2 linked regions of the Saccharomyces cerevisiae S288C genome follow. Changing the gene in region 2 together with the main gene of any one other region gives a genetic interaction. Each region holds a gene or a part of one and is shown on either strand. Other genes may lie near its edges. The genes, in order: YBR197C and YNR068C.

Evidence for each region.
Region 1: mutations in YNR068C (region 2) and YBR197C together harm fitness more than expected from each alone (negative genetic interaction), as found in Saccharomyces cerevisiae (one large-scale study listed by BioGRID).

Annotation. Positions count from the first base shown.
Region 1 is NC_001134.8:611,361-620,074, reverse strand, and holds YBR197C (uncharacterized protein), read left to right. Parts: upstream 1-4,218; coding exon 4,219-4,872; downstream 4,873-8,714. Other genes in the region: KTR4 (putative mannosyltransferase), read right to left, coding at 1-1,166; TAF5 (chromatin modification protein), read left to right, coding at 1,552-3,948; YBR196C-B (uncharacterized protein), read left to right, coding at 5,445-5,549; YBR196C-A (uncharacterized protein), read left to right, coding at 5,902-6,051; PGI1 (glucose-6-phosphate isomerase), read left to right, coding at 6,175-7,839; MSI1 (Msi1p), read left to right, coding at 8,193-8,714.
Region 2 is NC_001146.8:753,668-762,517, forward strand, and holds YNR068C (uncharacterized protein), read right to left. Parts: upstream 7,219-8,850; coding exon 6,400-7,218; downstream 1-6,399. Other genes in the region: YNR065C (uncharacterized protein), read right to left, coding at 1-33; YNR066C (uncharacterized protein), read right to left, coding at 58-1,368; DSE4 (endo-1,3(4)-beta-glucanase), read right to left, coding at 2,079-5,432; BSC5 (Bsc5p), read right to left, coding at 7,456-8,850.

The sequences.
Region 1 (8,714 bases), on a different chromosome or scaffold from region 2:
CTTCTTACAGGGGCATCACCCCACCTTTCATAGTAGAATCCTCCCTTTTCTTCAAGATATTGCATATATTTTTCATAAGGTTCTGACCTCAAAAAGTCTAAATCGACTATTTCAAAATTGGTCCAGAAATGACAAGTTGAATACCCTTGAGTATAATCATAATTTTTTGGATTTTGAGAGTTATCTTTTAGCCATGCGAAGGCTCCGTTGACGTTCAAATAGTTTGGGTGTTCCTCGACAAAATCCATAGTTGAAGTCCATAGCGTTTCGATGGTTTGCGGACTATCATAGAGGTTCAAAACAAACCCATAAATCTTGTCATTCTTGTTCATAAATTGGAAAACGTCATAGTTAATTTTGCAATAGAAATTCACGTTTGGCTCTAATCTCCACACATATTTATATTTAGATAGCAGAGGATGATGGTAAAATTCTTTAGAATAGAAACGACACATGTTATGATAGGATTCCACCTCTGCATACTGAATGTTCTCTTTACTCATTTTGTCCATTTCTTGGTCGTATCTCTCCCTATCTATGCTATCAGGCATATTCCAGTTATCTGGACCAATAGTGCCAAATTCTACTACACGGTCCTTAGGAAGAATACTTTTTATTCCATCTTTGAATTCGTCAGTAAATTCCTCATCGTTAAGGAAGGTATAGGGATATCCAAAATTCTTATTGTACTCCTCTTCTAGCTGTTGAATAGAAGAAATTATATCCTCTAAATCAGAATTTCTCACCAAACTCAAAATAGTTCCTTTTGCCTTGCCGGCTAACGGATCCCCGCTACGTACCAAATTGTCCACCTTTGGCTCAGAAATTTCTTGAAGTAAAAACTCCTCGTACAACTGTTTATTTTCAGCAAGGACTTCATTCGGGTCAAAAGTGTCCTTTTCATAAAGGGGCTCGTGTAGCCTGTCCATTATGCTATCTAACACCTCAGCATCATGATCAGGAAGTTCATCAGCGCTTTCAGTTTTACCTGTAATACTTTTGTAGCTCTCCCGGAGAGAAGCATACTGGGACTTGGCACTATCCTTGACTGCTTGCAAATAGTTCTCATTCGCCGTTAAAAAGTAAAGAACAACGGTTACGGCAATCGATATTAGAATGATCACTGAAAGTACAGGTTTCAGTATCCTTTTTGAAAGAAACCTCATATCAGTTCGTATGGTTCACCTTGTTGGGTCTAAACTAAAAATTGTGTTCTGCTGTAACGGCCTATTGTATATTATACAGCCGTGCAACACCGTGAAAGTATCTGCATATCAAATGGTTCAAAATATTTCACTACATGCAGTTAGAGAACGTCTTATAGAGCTCGTTCCGTTGAATGGAATTCTCCCCTTAGCCGGGTAAAAGTAGCTGTAAATATCATCTTTTACGGGTTCAGATGAATTGTTCAAAAGCAAAAAAGTTTCAAGATTTCAAATGAAGTCTACAAAGTGGCAGAAAGAGCAATAAAGCAGGCATAAGGGTAGGAAAAGAGAAGGAGAAAAGATACGAGAAACTCCGGGTTCAAGTTGAGATACTTGAAAAATAAGAATGTCACAGAAGCAAAGTACGAATCAGAATCAAAATGGCACGCATCAGCCACAACCAGTAAAGAATCAACGAACTAATAATGCTGCTGGCGCCAATTCCGGCCAGCAGCCACAGCAACAGAGTCAAGGCCAGTCTCAACAGCAGGGGAGGTCCAATGGTCCGTTTTCGGCGTCAGACTTGAATAGAATTGTCCTAGAGTACCTGAATAAAAAGGGATACCACCGTACAGAGGCCATGCTGAGAGCCGAGAGTGGACGTACACTAACACCTCAAAACAAACAATCACCAGCAAATACTAAAACAGGTAAATTTCCTGAACAATCATCAATTCCTCCGAACCCCGGGAAGACAGCTAAACCCATAAGCAATCCAACTAATTTGTCATCCAAGAGAGATGCAGAAGGTGGTATAGTATCTAGCGGGCGACTAGAAGGGCTCAACGCACCTGAAAATTATATACGTGCATATTCAATGTTGAAAAACTGGGTAGATTCGTCGCTGGAAATTTACAAGCCGGAACTAAGCTACATCATGTACCCAATATTCATTTATTTATTTTTAAATTTGGTGGCCAAAAATCCTGTTTACGCCCGTCGTTTCTTTGATAGATTTTCTCCCGATTTTAAGGACTTCCATGGCTCAGAAATTAATAGACTTTTCAGTGTCAATTCTATAGATCACATCAAGGAAAATGAGGTCGCAAGTGCTTTCCAATCTCACAAGTACAGAATTACTATGTCTAAAACCACTTTAAATCTTCTCTTATATTTTTTGAATGAAAATGAGAGTATTGGAGGTTCATTAATAATTAGTGTAATAAATCAGCACCTAGATCCAAATATTGTAGAATCAGTAACCGCAAGGGAAAAATTGGCTGATGGAATAAAAGTTCTCAGTGATAGTGAAAACGGAAATGGTAAACAAAATTTAGAAATGAATTCTGTTCCTGTCAAGCTGGGACCTTTCCCAAAAGACGAGGAGTTTGTTAAGGAGATTGAAACTGAATTGAAAATTAAGGATGATCAAGAGAAACAACTAAATCAACAAACTGCAGGTGACAATTACAGTGGAGCCAACAATAGAACCTTATTGCAAGAATATAAAGCTATGAATAACGAAAAATTTAAGGATAATACTGGCGACGATGATAAAGACAAAATTAAAGATAAAATCGCCAAAGATGAGGAAAAAAAAGAGAGCGAATTGAAGGTGGATGGTGAAAAAAAAGACAGCAATTTATCTTCGCCAGCACGTGATATTTTACCTTTACCACCAAAGACGGCACTAGATTTGAAGTTGGAGATTCAGAAGGTCAAGGAATCTCGTGATGCCATCAAACTAGATAATTTACAGTTGGCCTTACCAAGCGTGTGCATGTATACATTCCAAAACACAAATAAAGACATGTCATGTTTAGATTTCAGTGATGATTGTAGGATAGCGGCTGCTGGCTTTCAAGACAGTTATATCAAGATCTGGTCACTCGACGGCTCATCACTTAATAATCCTAACATCGCGTTAAATAACAACGACAAGGATGAAGACCCAACGTGTAAAACTTTGGTGGGGCACAGTGGTACAGTATATTCAACAAGTTTCAGTCCGGATAATAAGTATTTACTTTCTGGTTCTGAAGATAAAACCGTCAGGCTATGGTCCATGGATACTCACACCGCGCTAGTAAGCTATAAGGGCCATAATCACCCTGTGTGGGATGTTAGTTTCTCCCCGCTAGGCCATTATTTCGCCACTGCATCGCACGACCAAACCGCAAGGTTATGGTCATGCGATCACATATATCCATTAAGAATATTTGCAGGACATTTAAATGATGTTGATTGTGTGTCATTTCATCCGAACGGTTGCTATGTGTTTACGGGATCCAGCGATAAGACGTGTCGAATGTGGGACGTTTCTACAGGCGACTCGGTTAGGTTATTTCTTGGACATACTGCGCCCGTCATTTCTATTGCTGTTTGTCCAGATGGTAGGTGGTTGTCCACTGGTAGCGAAGATGGTATTATTAATGTATGGGATATTGGTACCGGCAAAAGGTTGAAACAAATGCGTGGCCATGGTAAGAATGCCATTTATTCCTTATCATATAGCAAAGAGGGAAACGTACTTATTAGTGGAGGTGCCGATCATACAGTCCGTGTATGGGATTTGAAAAAGGCCACTACTGAGCCAAGCGCAGAACCAGATGAGCCATTCATTGGATACTTGGGTGACGTTACTGCATCTATAAACCAAGATATAAAAGAATATGGTCGCAGAAGAACAGTAATACCTACAAGCGATTTAGTAGCGTCGTTCTACACCAAAAAGACGCCTGTTTTTAAGGTCAAGTTCAGCAGAAGCAATTTAGCCCTTGCAGGAGGTGCTTTCAGGCCATAATTCACACTGAAAAAAATAACAGCATGGAAGTGATATGTAATAAGTATAACCTAATCCGATATGTAACTATTAGATGCTTTTTCGACATCGTACTTGACCTGCTCGGCGGTTATCATAGCGTCTTCTTTAGCCTTTTTTTTTTCGCTCAGTCATCGGGGCCAAAACAAGAAAGGCGAAGAACAGAAAAATGAAAAATGTAACTGGTTGTTGTAAAAACCTTCCAGAGAAATAAGATGAAATGTATGTTGCTGGCACGAACGAAGACAAATAATGGGAGTGAAGCAAACCCCACCAGTCCAGGTGAAAGTAAGCGACGCGGATTCCACCAACAGAAGGAAATCTAGTAGCCAGGAAGGAAACCCTCAGCTGGTTCAATTAAAGGCAAAGAGCGACAAAGATAAAAGAAAGGGATCTTCAGATTCCACTGCCTCTATAATGGGCAGTTCCAACGCACTTCCGACCAAAAACCTAACCACGCCTCCAGCACTAAACCCCTTAACGACCAGCATTAGTAGGGGTAATACTGCATACGAAAGAAGCGTAAATGGTAGCCGTATAACAATGCACTCAAACCTGGCACCTACGGAGACGCAAGACGTATCATGGTCTGAAATCGATACACTGGATGATGTGAAGAAGATGGCGAAAGAACCTATCGTCAACGACGGGTTCCCACGAGATTTTGAGAGCAATCTCACGCAAATGCGCAAGTCGCACGCTCAACTACTGCGATTAATGAGGGAAAGAAATCAGCGACTAAAGTATGCCAAGCTGAGGAGCCCTCCTCATAAGGATCAGCATAATTCTGCCACGAATAAAGATCAAGAACCAGACGAGGTATTGCATGACCCGGAAATCGCACTTGACGGTGAGAAGTACGTGAGCCAAGTTGTCGATACTATTAAAGATGTTCACCGATGCTGATGACATGTATGGGTTGAAAATATTTAGAGGATGCTAAAAGTCCCGTCTAAAATAGAGGAAGTCATGGATTACATTATCACCTTTATTGTCCTGTTCCGTCTGGCTAATTTGGGACGAGGAACGTTTGTCTCCATTCGCAACCTTTTGAAACCATATGAACGGCGGCTAATCTGACAGATGTCTTATATTTCTAGGATTGTAGAAAGCCTCCTCATCAAACCACCTTGTTTGAAAAAGGCACTAGTGCGGTTGCTTTACTTGATCTAGTATTCTCCTACCTTGGAGCGGTCCCATATCAACTAAATTCAGTTTTCTGACTGAGTTAAAAACTAATGTAGCGACACCACTTCCATTGGTGCCTCCGTTATTTTTTTTTTGTATGTTAATGCTAAATAATACACCGCTATGTATTTCAGGGCACTACTTCTACACATCAACGGTACTAAACATTTCGCTCAAGATCGGTCCGCTTTCACGTATTTGGATGCTATGCAATGTTGACTATTCTTAGTGGATAACATGCGGCATTTCCTGGCGGCTATTTGCATCGCTATGTAAGTGGCAATGTTCGGATGTGGGTAGTACTTTCAAAAGAAAAAATATTACTGAAGAAGGCATACTACGCCAAGACTATTTTATTCTCAGCACTTGTCCTACGTGGGGTTAGAGGCGAGTAAGACTTTGGCCCCGCTGCGGAAGCAAAGAGAATTTTGCCATCGGACATGCTACCTTACGCTTATATCTCTCATTGGAATATCGTTTTCTGATTAAAACACGGAAGTAAGAACTTAATTCGTTTTTCGTTGAACTATGTTGTGCCAGCGTAACATTAAAAAAGAGTGTACAAGGCCACGTTCTGTCACCGTCAGAAAAATATGTCAATGAGGCAAGAACCGGGATGGTAACAAAAATCACGATCTGGGTGGGTGTGGGTGTATTGGATTATAGGAAGCCACGCGCTCAACCTGGAATTACAGGAAGCTGGTAATTTTTTGGGTTTGCAATCATCACCATCTGCACGTTGTTATAATGTCCCGTGTCTATATATATCCATTGACGGTATTCTATTTTTTTGCTATTGAAATGAGCGTTTTTTGTTACTACAATTGGTTTTACAGACGGAATTTTCCCTATTTGTTTCGTCCCATTTTTCCTTTTCTCATTGTTCTCATATCTTAAAAAGGTCCTTTCTTCATAATCAATGCTTTCTTTTACTTAATATTTTACTTGCATTCAGTGAATTTTAATACATATTCCTCTAGTCTTGCAAAATCGATTTAGAATCAAGATACCAGCCTAAAAATGTCCAATAACTCATTCACTAACTTCAAACTGGCCACTGAATTGCCAGCCTGGTCTAAGTTGCAAAAAATTTATGAATCTCAAGGTAAGACTTTGTCTGTCAAGCAAGAATTCCAAAAAGATGCCAAGCGTTTTGAAAAATTGAACAAGACTTTCACCAACTATGATGGTTCCAAAATCTTGTTCGACTACTCAAAGAACTTGGTCAACGATGAAATCATTGCTGCATTGATTGAACTGGCCAAGGAGGCTAACGTCACCGGTTTGAGAGATGCTATGTTCAAAGGTGAACACATCAACTCCACTGAAGATCGTGCTGTCTACCACGTCGCATTGAGAAACAGAGCTAACAAGCCAATGTACGTTGATGGTGTCAACGTTGCTCCAGAAGTCGACTCTGTCTTGAAGCACATGAAGGAGTTCTCTGAACAAGTTCGTTCTGGTGAATGGAAGGGTTATACCGGTAAGAAGATCACCGATGTTGTTAACATCGGTATTGGTGGTTCCGATTTGGGTCCAGTCATGGTCACTGAGGCTTTGAAGCACTACGCTGGTGTCTTGGATGTCCACTTCGTTTCCAACATTGACGGTACTCACATTGCTGAAACCTTGAAGGTTGTTGACCCAGAAACTACTTTGTTTTTGATTGCTTCCAAGACTTTCACTACCGCTGAAACTATCACTAACGCTAACACTGCCAAGAACTGGTTCTTGTCGAAGACAGGTAATGATCCATCTCACATTGCTAAGCATTTCGCTGCTTTGTCCACTAACGAAACCGAAGTTGCCAAGTTCGGTATTGACACCAAAAACATGTTTGGTTTCGAAAGTTGGGTCGGTGGTCGTTACTCTGTCTGGTCGGCTATTGGTTTGTCTGTTGCCTTGTACATTGGCTATGACAACTTTGAGGCTTTCTTGAAGGGTGCTGAAGCCGTCGACAACCACTTCACCCAAACCCCATTGGAAGACAACATTCCATTGTTGGGTGGTTTGTTGTCTGTCTGGTACAACAACTTCTTTGGTGCTCAAACCCATTTGGTTGCTCCATTCGACCAATACTTGCACAGATTCCCAGCCTACTTGCAACAATTGTCAATGGAATCTAACGGTAAGTCTGTTACCAGAGGTAACGTGTTTACTGACTACTCTACTGGTTCTATCTTGTTTGGTGAACCAGCTACCAACGCTCAACACTCTTTCTTCCAATTGGTTCACCAAGGTACCAAGTTGATTCCATCTGATTTCATCTTAGCTGCTCAATCTCATAACCCAATTGAGAACAAATTACATCAAAAGATGTTGGCTTCAAACTTCTTTGCTCAAGCTGAAGCTTTAATGGTTGGTAAGGATGAAGAACAAGTTAAGGCTGAAGGTGCCACTGGTGGTTTGGTCCCACACAAGGTCTTCTCAGGTAACAGACCAACTACCTCTATCTTGGCTCAAAAGATTACTCCAGCTACTTTGGGTGCTTTGATTGCCTACTACGAACATGTTACTTTCACTGAAGGTGCCATTTGGAATATCAACTCTTTCGACCAATGGGGTGTTGAATTGGGTAAAGTCTTGGCTAAAGTCATCGGCAAGGAATTGGACAACTCCTCCACCATTTCTACCCACGATGCTTCTACCAACGGTTTAATCAATCAATTCAAGGAATGGATGTGAACAAATCGCTCTTAAATATATACCTAAAGAACATTAAAGCTATATTATAAGCAAAGATACGTAAATTTTGCTTATATTATTATACACATATCATATTTCTATATTTTTAAGATTTGGTTATATAATGTACGTAATGCAAAGGAAATAAATTTTATACATTATTGAACAGCGTCCAAGTAACTACATTATGTGCACTAATAGTTTAGCGTCGTGAAGACTTTATTGTGTCGCGAAAAGTAAAAATTTTAAAAATTAGAGCACCTTGAACTTGCGAAAAAGGTTCTCATCAACTGTTTAAAAGGAGGATATCAGGTCCTATTTCTGACAAACAATATACAAATTTAGTTTCAAAGATGAATCAGTGCGCGAAGGACATAACTCATGAAGCCTCCAGTATACCCATCGATTTGCAAGAAAGATACTCGCACTGGAAGAAAAACACTAAACTACTTTATGATTACCTAAACACGAATTCAACAAAGTGGCCGTCCTTAACGTGCCAGTTCTTTCCTGATTTAGATACCACTTCGGATGAGCATCGCATCTTGTTATCCTCATTTACATCTTCCCAAAAACCTGAAGATGAGACCATATATATTAGCAAAATATCCACGTTGGGTCATATAAAATGGTCATCTTTAAATAATTTCGACATGGACGAAATGGAATTCAAACCGGAGAACTCGACAAGGTTTCCCTCCAAACACTTAGTAAATGACATCAGTATTTTCTTCCCAAACGGGGAATGCAATAGGGCAAGATATTTGCCTCAAAATCCAGATATTATAGCCGGCGCCTCTTCAGATGGTGCAATCTACATATTCGATAGAACAAAACACGGCTCTACTAGAATAAGACAGTCCAAAATTTCACAT
Region 2 (8,850 bases):
ACTACCGTCGCCAACGGAACCTGTCATTAACATAATTCCGGCAGTAGGATTTGAGATTTAGATACTATAAAAAGGGTTCTGGAGCGAACATCTTTCAGGCCTAGTGATATCACAAGGGAATGAATCTGCATTTTCCTCGTCAACCACTTTCAAATTTGACCATGTGAGGCCGTTATCAACAGATATTTTAGTTTCATATCTGGCTATCTTTTTATTATATTTTCCTTTGTTATGAGAGTAGTCAAAGGAAGGATGAAACGAGCCAATTATTGTTCCTTCTAAGAAATGAGGAGAAGCAATATCAATATAACCAAAGTGAGGATTTATTGTCCATTCAACAGGTAAAAATTTCAACCCTTGAGAATCTGATATTAAAATTTCTGAGGGAGCTGGTTGGTCGTTTTTTTCATCTGTGAATATCGTAGATATAGGAATGATTATTCTTCCAATAGAATCTTCATAAATTCCATACATATGGACGTGCCGTACTTGAGCAGGTAGACGTGCCTTTTGAAAAGTAGACGCATCATTGGATATCCAGATGTCCATGGGTGACATTTCATTGTATCTATCATCTTGTGTCGAAACGATTATATGTGATTTTAATATCTTGTATTGATAAATAATTTTATCATTAAACTCATCAAATTTTTTGAAAGTTTTACCTCCATCAGTACTTAAGGCTAATTGTGTATATGCGGCACTTAAGTGACGATCGCTATCGTAACCATGGTTCGAGAACAAACATAGTATCGAAGCGTCGTTACCCTCAATATCAGAATCCTTGCTAGATTTGACAAAGTTGCAGCTTGAACTTGTTATATGGTCATCTTCTTTCTTTTTCAAGGAAGGTTCGATATTGTAAAAGGATTCCCCATCGTTGGTAAAGTAAGTTTCATTTTGTATTTGGATATAACCATTGTCGTTTATAAAGCAAGGGCAATCTGCAATAAGGTACTTTTTATCTGTCGGATGGGTAGCTATAGAGCAAGAAGTACCCAAACGACAGTTTTCAGAGACGGGTATAGTCAGAGCCCTCCATGATTTTCCACGATCATCGGTGACGTAAAATTTGGGTGATAAATGTATCGAAACAAAAGCCCTGTCCTGTCCATGCAAAGGATCAACAATTAATTCGAGAATATGCCCTTCAATTTCTTTGACCGCTTCCCAATTTTCTCCAGAATCGGAACTTATCCACACGACTTGATTATCTAATCTGATTAAACTGTTGGAATCGTCAAAGCTCTCTAGACTAAATGAATATTCTGAAAGAGTCTCCGTTACTTTGGGGACGAATTCCTCTGCATTGAGTAACGGAATAAAGAGACATGTCCAAATCGTGCATATGACTTGGAGTAATATCATAATTGAGGATCTCTTACCTTTTCTTAGTTCAAAGCTTTTTTTCAAAGCTCGGAACTTTATGCTACGATTCAATGACTAAAAAAAAGGTAGCGGATAATCTTTTGGTTGCAAATTGGCGGCATTTAAATATATTTTGGGTTGCAAATATTCTAAAAATATTCTCATAATATTCTAAAAATATCTAGCCTAGGTAATTGCAATTATTTTGAGTCTGGTTATTTTGAGTTGACCATGTTCACTTCCTTTTCAGTCATCAAGACAACGTGTTTACCATCTAATGGGGAATCAAACAGATAAAACTAGAAACTGAGCAAAAATACTTTGATTTGCTAATGTCGCCAGTAGTACGATAATACTATAAAGATATGCTGTTGAAGCTGATATTTAAAGAATGAGAATCTCTAAGGGATCATAGTCTAGAATGGTATTCTGCAAAACAAATTTTAAATGGTGAAAACTTTTCCTCACTATGTCCAATTGATGCTTCTTAGGATGACGTTAGAATTTTATTTTAGTGCAGGCATTACCTTGCTAAGTTCATTCATTAAAGTACTAATATACCTCTTACTGGCATGCATTTACCTAAGTGGTCTCCGTTAGCCGTGGTCTTTTCGAACGCAACAACTTTCAAGTTAAGTAAAAATGATTTATTCTATAAAATATGTATGTAGTGGGAAAGACTCGACAGACCTGCTTGCCAAGTTCTCTTTCTAAGCAATTGAGTTGGCCAGTCCCCCTGAAAATGCTAATGCCCATGTGCGACTCATTCCGTTATCCAAATATGTGGATGAATCAAAAGTTGAATCACTGAAAAATGCATACGAATCTACTGGGTCGAAGAGTGCTTGATTCAGCTTCAATATGCCTGTCCAGCCGCTTTCTATCGATTCAATAATTGGCTCGATTTTAGTCTGCCATTCTTCTTCGACGAAAGTCTCAGAACGAATATTAGAAGAAACTGGTGTGATAGGTAGCATATGAATACCGTGGATATATTCTGTGTTTGTTCCAAAATAAGTAGTATAATCGATAATATTATCGAATAAAATACCACTCACTTTATTTCCTATGATTTCTTCAGGCTCAACTGTGTTGTCATTTTGATAATAGAAATAGTCGTTCATTGCATCCTTCATTATACTAATCATCAAGTCACCCCTCAATTCCATTGACTGGTCACCGATAGTGGCCCCCCATAACTTCATAGCATAGGCAAAATTGTAATCTTCACTACTACTTTCTTCGTTCTTACCGTTACCGTTTTCATAAAGTCCAGCTGCCCATGAATGACCGTTGAACCAATCAAACATTCTCGATTGTGCAAAGTATTCATCTTTTTCAGATGGATTTGCGACATCTCTTACCAATGAATTGACCCAATCTTTATTGTCGGCAGCCCAAGTACCATTCAGTTTAGAGTCAACATAGCCGATGACAGCAGCTGCATGAATAATGTAACCATAATGGAAATGATGGTCATTGTAATAAGTGTTACCAAAATCGTATTGCGTGCTGGTGGAACCCCAATCTCCTGAACTGACCAAACCGTTGAACTTTGTGTCGTAAATTAGTGGATACGTCTGTTCATTTTGTAGCAGAATATCAAAGGCCGATTTGATGTTTTCCAAAGTACTCTTAGTACTGGCTTCATCTTGGATGATTTCGGAGACCGTTAATAGAATGTAAGAATACTTATCGATAACTTTACCCAAATAATATGTGTTTAACCCGCTTATACTTTCGGAAATACTAACCTGTAATTCGGAATTGGCAACTTCAGCTAATAATTGCAATTGTTCTTTAGAATACTCTAAAAGGTTTGAGCCAAGTTGAGAAGACCATGGTAACCAAGATATTTGTCTGTTTAGAGATGTGGAAAATTGTAGGCTCGTTGTTAGATAACCGTTCATTACACCCTTAGTTGTAGAAGCGAGTTGAATGCCGGTATAGTAGTCTTGCATTATATCACTAAATGAAGATTCATGATGGGGCAAGGCAAAAATCATTGTGCTACCTGATGCCGACTCACCTTGGGTGGTATAAGAAAATTCATAGGTAGCTGTAGAACCGTCAGAGACACCCTGCAGCTTGAAATTAGTAACGTACATACCTGCGGCTTGATCATAAAAGACCTCGTAATCAGTTTCAGAAGGTGCGACGGCCAATTGAATGATAAGACCATCAACACTAGCGCTTGCTTTAATTTCATATTCTGAGCTCACCTCCAATGAAAAGTCCGTTGAGGTTAAATCGTCTGGTCCTATCACGTAACATAACCAAGTGACTCCATTCAAAAGGGTGATACGATATTTGAGAATACCCTGAGCTAAATTGCTTGATGATTCAGAAACAATGGTATTGAATCCGACGCTGGAACCAATCTTGGCATTTAAAGATCCATGATATATACCAGTTGCAAATCCCATACCTTGAACCAAAGGTATTTCCAGGTAGTTCGAAGAATCATTGGATTCTGATAGCACTACCCTTGTTGAAGACAAGGTCATTTCATCAACTTGCATAGTCATACTTGAATCAAAATTCGAAGCTGAGAAAACAACATGAGCAATTCCCAAAGGATTGACCAAATATTCTGCATTACCGGAACTGTCATAACCACCGTAGCTATATTGATCTACTGTTGTATGTTGAACAGCAAAACCATATGAACTCGAGGTGTACTTCCACAATGAATAAGGATACACAAAGGCAGGTGATTCCTGACTACCAACAATCAAATTTGTATAAAACTTGTTTGTTTGAATGGGACCATCGTTTGACACCCCATCAGCCAATGACATAGGATTTGGTGATCTGTCAAAAACAGTTGGTGGTTCATCTGTCGAAACAGCATTGAAAAGATTGACAATGGTCGTTGTTGAAGAGTTCTCCGTTGTGGTAGCGGTGCTACTGGTCGAGGTTGACAGAGAAGAGGAGGAAGTTTTTGTTTGTCTCGAAGATGAGGACGAAGAGATGGTAGCTTGCATTGAAGAAGATACATAAATGGTATCTAATGTCGAAGAAACCGGAGAGGAAGAAGAATCTACTGTTGAAAATAGTGATGACAAAAGAATGTTTCCTGTTGAACTCGATGGATAAACTGGACTAACAGTCGATGATAGTGATGGTGATGGTGAAGAACCGTTTTCTGTAATGTTTGAAGGGTAAATTGGACTAGTTGTCGAATATAGTGATACAGATGGAGAAAGAGTGATTTGTGTCCTATTAGATGGGTAAGCAGGGCTTGCTGTTGTAGATGCGAGCGTCTGGACTAAATCCTGGGTTGAGTTGGATGGATAGAACAAAGTCGAGGAAGCAGGAGTTGAAGCAATGAAGGAATCTTCGCCGGTAGCTGTAGCTGCATTTGTCCTTACTGAAATAGTATATATCGTTTTATTCGAGGTCAATGAAGAAGGAATAATTTTTGTTTCTTGGGAAGAATAGGAAGGCATTTGAGTTACCAGTGGATCGATTGTACCTTTTGAAACAGAAGTCAATAAAGTTCCATTTAATTGTGTCCCCGAAATAGATAAAGATGAAGAAAATAAAGTCGAAGTCGAAGTCGAAGCAGTTTGAGATAATAATGTGGTGACTTTACGCATTGTTGATGCACTTGGCATGACTGAGGCGACGCCGGAAACCGAACTCAAATTGTGTACTGAACTTTTGCTTTTCGAATTATCATTTGCGTAAATATTTGAAACAGTGACAGGATCATTATTGGTTTGTGCGCTTATTTTTTGAGATACTTGGCTTGCGTAGTTTGATAACGACAATGACAGTTGAACTGCTGTTCTTGTATTAGAATCACTGTCTTGTGAATTAATTGGAGATGCGCTCACTCTATTTTTTGGCGAAACTGAGAGAGGGCTATGAGAAGCTGCAGATACTCTTGTTACAACCACCGATTGTGCAACATAAGGCTCACCTACTGTCAAAGTAGCGTAAGATAAAGTTTCAATTAAATCAGTTTCCAATATTTCGTCTGCATTATTCGATATGAAACTTATATATGAACATTCGACGAAACTTAATAGAAAAAGAAGTGTCAGATATAATTGCATACTAGCTGTTTTTTTGTTTTCTTTTCTGTATGCAGACCGTTACTATGGTTATCTACTTGTTGAAACAAGCACAAGAAACATACTTGATATTCATTTTTGAAACAAATTGCACCAAGTATTTATATGTAGTCCTTTACCCTCGCTTGTAGTCTTCGTATGGTGTATATGCTTTGCTACTCTTTTCATACCCAGCTCTTATTTTTAACTTTTTGGGTTCAGCTTTATGATTAACTAGTTTTTCCTTGGTAACCAAATTGGGAGATTTCGTGCCTTTTCTGCTGGCTTTCATAACAAAATATAGCCGAAAAGAGCTTAGCGCAGCTGAACTCGGTAACAAGGTTCAGGTAAAAAGGGGAGAAAAAAAGAAAAGAAAGCCAGATCTTTCAAAAATATGCCAGCAAATACCAAATTGGTCATAAAATAGCTAGCACTCCGCTATCGAGCAAGTTCTCTTGGCAAGCAGGCTTATTCTATTCTTTTGCTGAAGGAAAGGCCAGTTCTATGCTTATAACCTTAAGTAGGAAACATATGCGCAGCTTACAGCGCATAAAATTGATGGCAACCCATTTAGTGGTACTATTCCTGCGTTATTACTAGTATGGTCGCTTTAAAGAGTGGTAAGATTTCACATTTTCAAATCTAAAAAGCAAAGTTTATCACTTGAAATGTACCTCTCTGTGGGCTTTCACTACCTTGTACATTTTCTTAGCAGTTCCGTACATTTTTTTAAACAATGAAAATTCAAAGTTCTATGTATAGAGATTATTTAGGTTTTTAGTACTTAAAGTATTTTGAGAATACCTTGGCAAACGCAGAACAATCGTAAAAGAGATTGCTACTGCGCACTGTTTCCTTGCTTTATCACTTTCAGTTCTGCAAGAACTAAGGTGTTTATCAGTAATGATACTGTAATATCAATAGCGATAAAAACTTCGTCAGTGAAACCATTCTTTTTAACAGCCATCTATCAAATAAAAGAGTTTTTAACTTGAACTGGGATATCAATTTCAGCAGATCCAACACCTTTATCAAAATGAAGTTTTACGCGGAGGAAATATGACCTCGAGCATAAACAACTTTCAAAACTTGGCACTATGGTAGCTTTAAAATCATCATTATATTTTATATTCAATAACAGTGTTCTCTTATACTCAGTTGAACTGACCTGATTCCATTCATTTGATTTCCGATGTGAAAGTACCGAATGGTGATAGTTTGATGGGGAGGTTTTTTTATTCCTAGAAGTTCGAGGAATTATGCTGGATATAGGAGAAGAAGCAACAGGCACACTTTTCTCTCCAACCAACTTCGTTTTCAACGCATTTTTCATGACAACAACATTGGCTTCCATATTGGCTAAAACCTGTACGTCCTTAATTATACTCGAAGGCATTAAATCAGAAAAATCGAGCGATCTATTACGCAGGCTAGCTCTTGCGTCATCGGCAAGAAGTAAGTTTATTTTTGTTTGATTTTTAGTGAACTCATCGCGATATGCTTCAATGTTTTCCAAAATTTCCTTAAATATTTTCTTAATTTCATTGTATTTGTGCTTCTTTAAAAGTAAATCACTGTGGAACCTCACTGGTTTGCAATCTTTTGTGTTCGTTGTTAAGCAAATCAATTCCGTCTCCAGACTACTGATTTCCGGTGGGTCATGTGGAATACTATTAGCAGCTTGCATACATACTAGTTCAAGCCGTAAATTTTCTAGTTTTTCTCTCTCTTCAACGGACAATAGACCTCTTAAATTAGTCCAGTTCTTTTGATTCTGCCTGTTTCTCATTGAAAATACATTTTGTTTTTGAATTAGATTTGGACACCAATATGGCAAAGCATTACTAGGGGGCTTTATTTTTATTGTTATAAGCCCAATTTTCTCTGAGTTAGTCTTTGAAGTGGGATCATCTGGTTGAGATGAAGGAATATTACGCACACTTTTGAGAAACACATTTTTCAGACCTGTGTTGAAGAGAGATGCTATAGAGTAAGTAATTTCAGTTTGAATTTTATCTTCTTCAGACTAGTGTTTCTTTTTAAGTGTTCCGTTTTCAGTATTTCCAGCTACCGCGTTCCATTCATACTTACCTCTTAGGGGTGATAGTTGATCAGAGCGATTCGCCTCCTGTATGTCCTCCTTATGAATGGGAATCGCTCGCTCTATTTTAGAAAAGACTTTTTCGATCATTCCAAGCCTGTTTGCAATTTCAATATCGAAATCCTCTAAGTCTTTGAGGCACTTCTCCCTACTAATTGGATTGTTTTGAAAGCCAAATGGAACTATCCTTATGCTATACTTTTTTTCACTCATTAAACAAACACGCCCAGAAGCTACGTCTTTGCCTACTATCATAGCATTTATTGAGTAATTTATTAAGCTGCCACTAGAACTGTCGTTTAACCATAGTGAGGAACCTCTTTCTGACAAACGACCATAACCTAAACTCTCCGAAAATTTTAGAGTAGAAAGCTCTGGATGAGAACTCGATGGTCTATCAAACCCTAATGTAGGGGGCAAAAGAGAGTGAGAGAAGTGACCGTGCTTACAGGTTACGTCTAATAACTGGTTCGGAATTTTAAAAGTGAAAAATTTCTTACGTTTATCACCTGGATTTAGTATCCTGCTATTCGGTAATCCAAAGCTTGTTTTATCAATGGAGTCAAAAAATCCACAAAGGTCTTCCCCCGTGTTCACGTCTTCATGATTATATGACCAACTCGCTGCCATATCTACCATTCTCAAAATTCTTTCTGTCGTTTTTTGGATTCCAAAGGGTGACTGTGTTTTTGAACTTGTCGTACCTTCCAAAGTTAAATAAAACATATCGAATTTTATAGGTTTGGTTGATTTGTTTTCTACAGTGAAATAACCGTGAATTATATCCCCAGAGGTGTATTCCCTTAGCATGCTCTCGTGTTTAGGAAGCTGTCCAAATTTTGGAGCCGTCTTTGTGACGTACAATTCAGTCGCTATGGGGGTTTTAATCCTAGGCAATGCGTATATATTCTCAACTGGGATACCTTTAGTATCATCATAATTACGAATTTGAGACTCAGCAGGGCCGGAAGCAAACCGGCGGCCATCAACAGTCACTTCATGATTATCTGGGCCAACGATATCACCGGTAAGAATCCGCATATCATTCCCAGACTCACCTTCCGAAGGAATACTCTGATTTCGGGAAGCAACCTCATAAAAAGGTGGATTCTCCGGAAAGTATGTATCGAAACTAGATTGAGGTATATTGCTGAGCAAATTTTCATACATTTCGAATGACGGCAATAGTTCTGGAAGGACAAAGTCATCTTCCTGAACATTCGTTATGCTCGAGCAGTGATCTCCATTATTGCATGCGAAAGCGTCTTCTTCCTTTCCTTGGGATGTTCCACATCTCGGTTCCTCGAAGGAGGTTCCTCC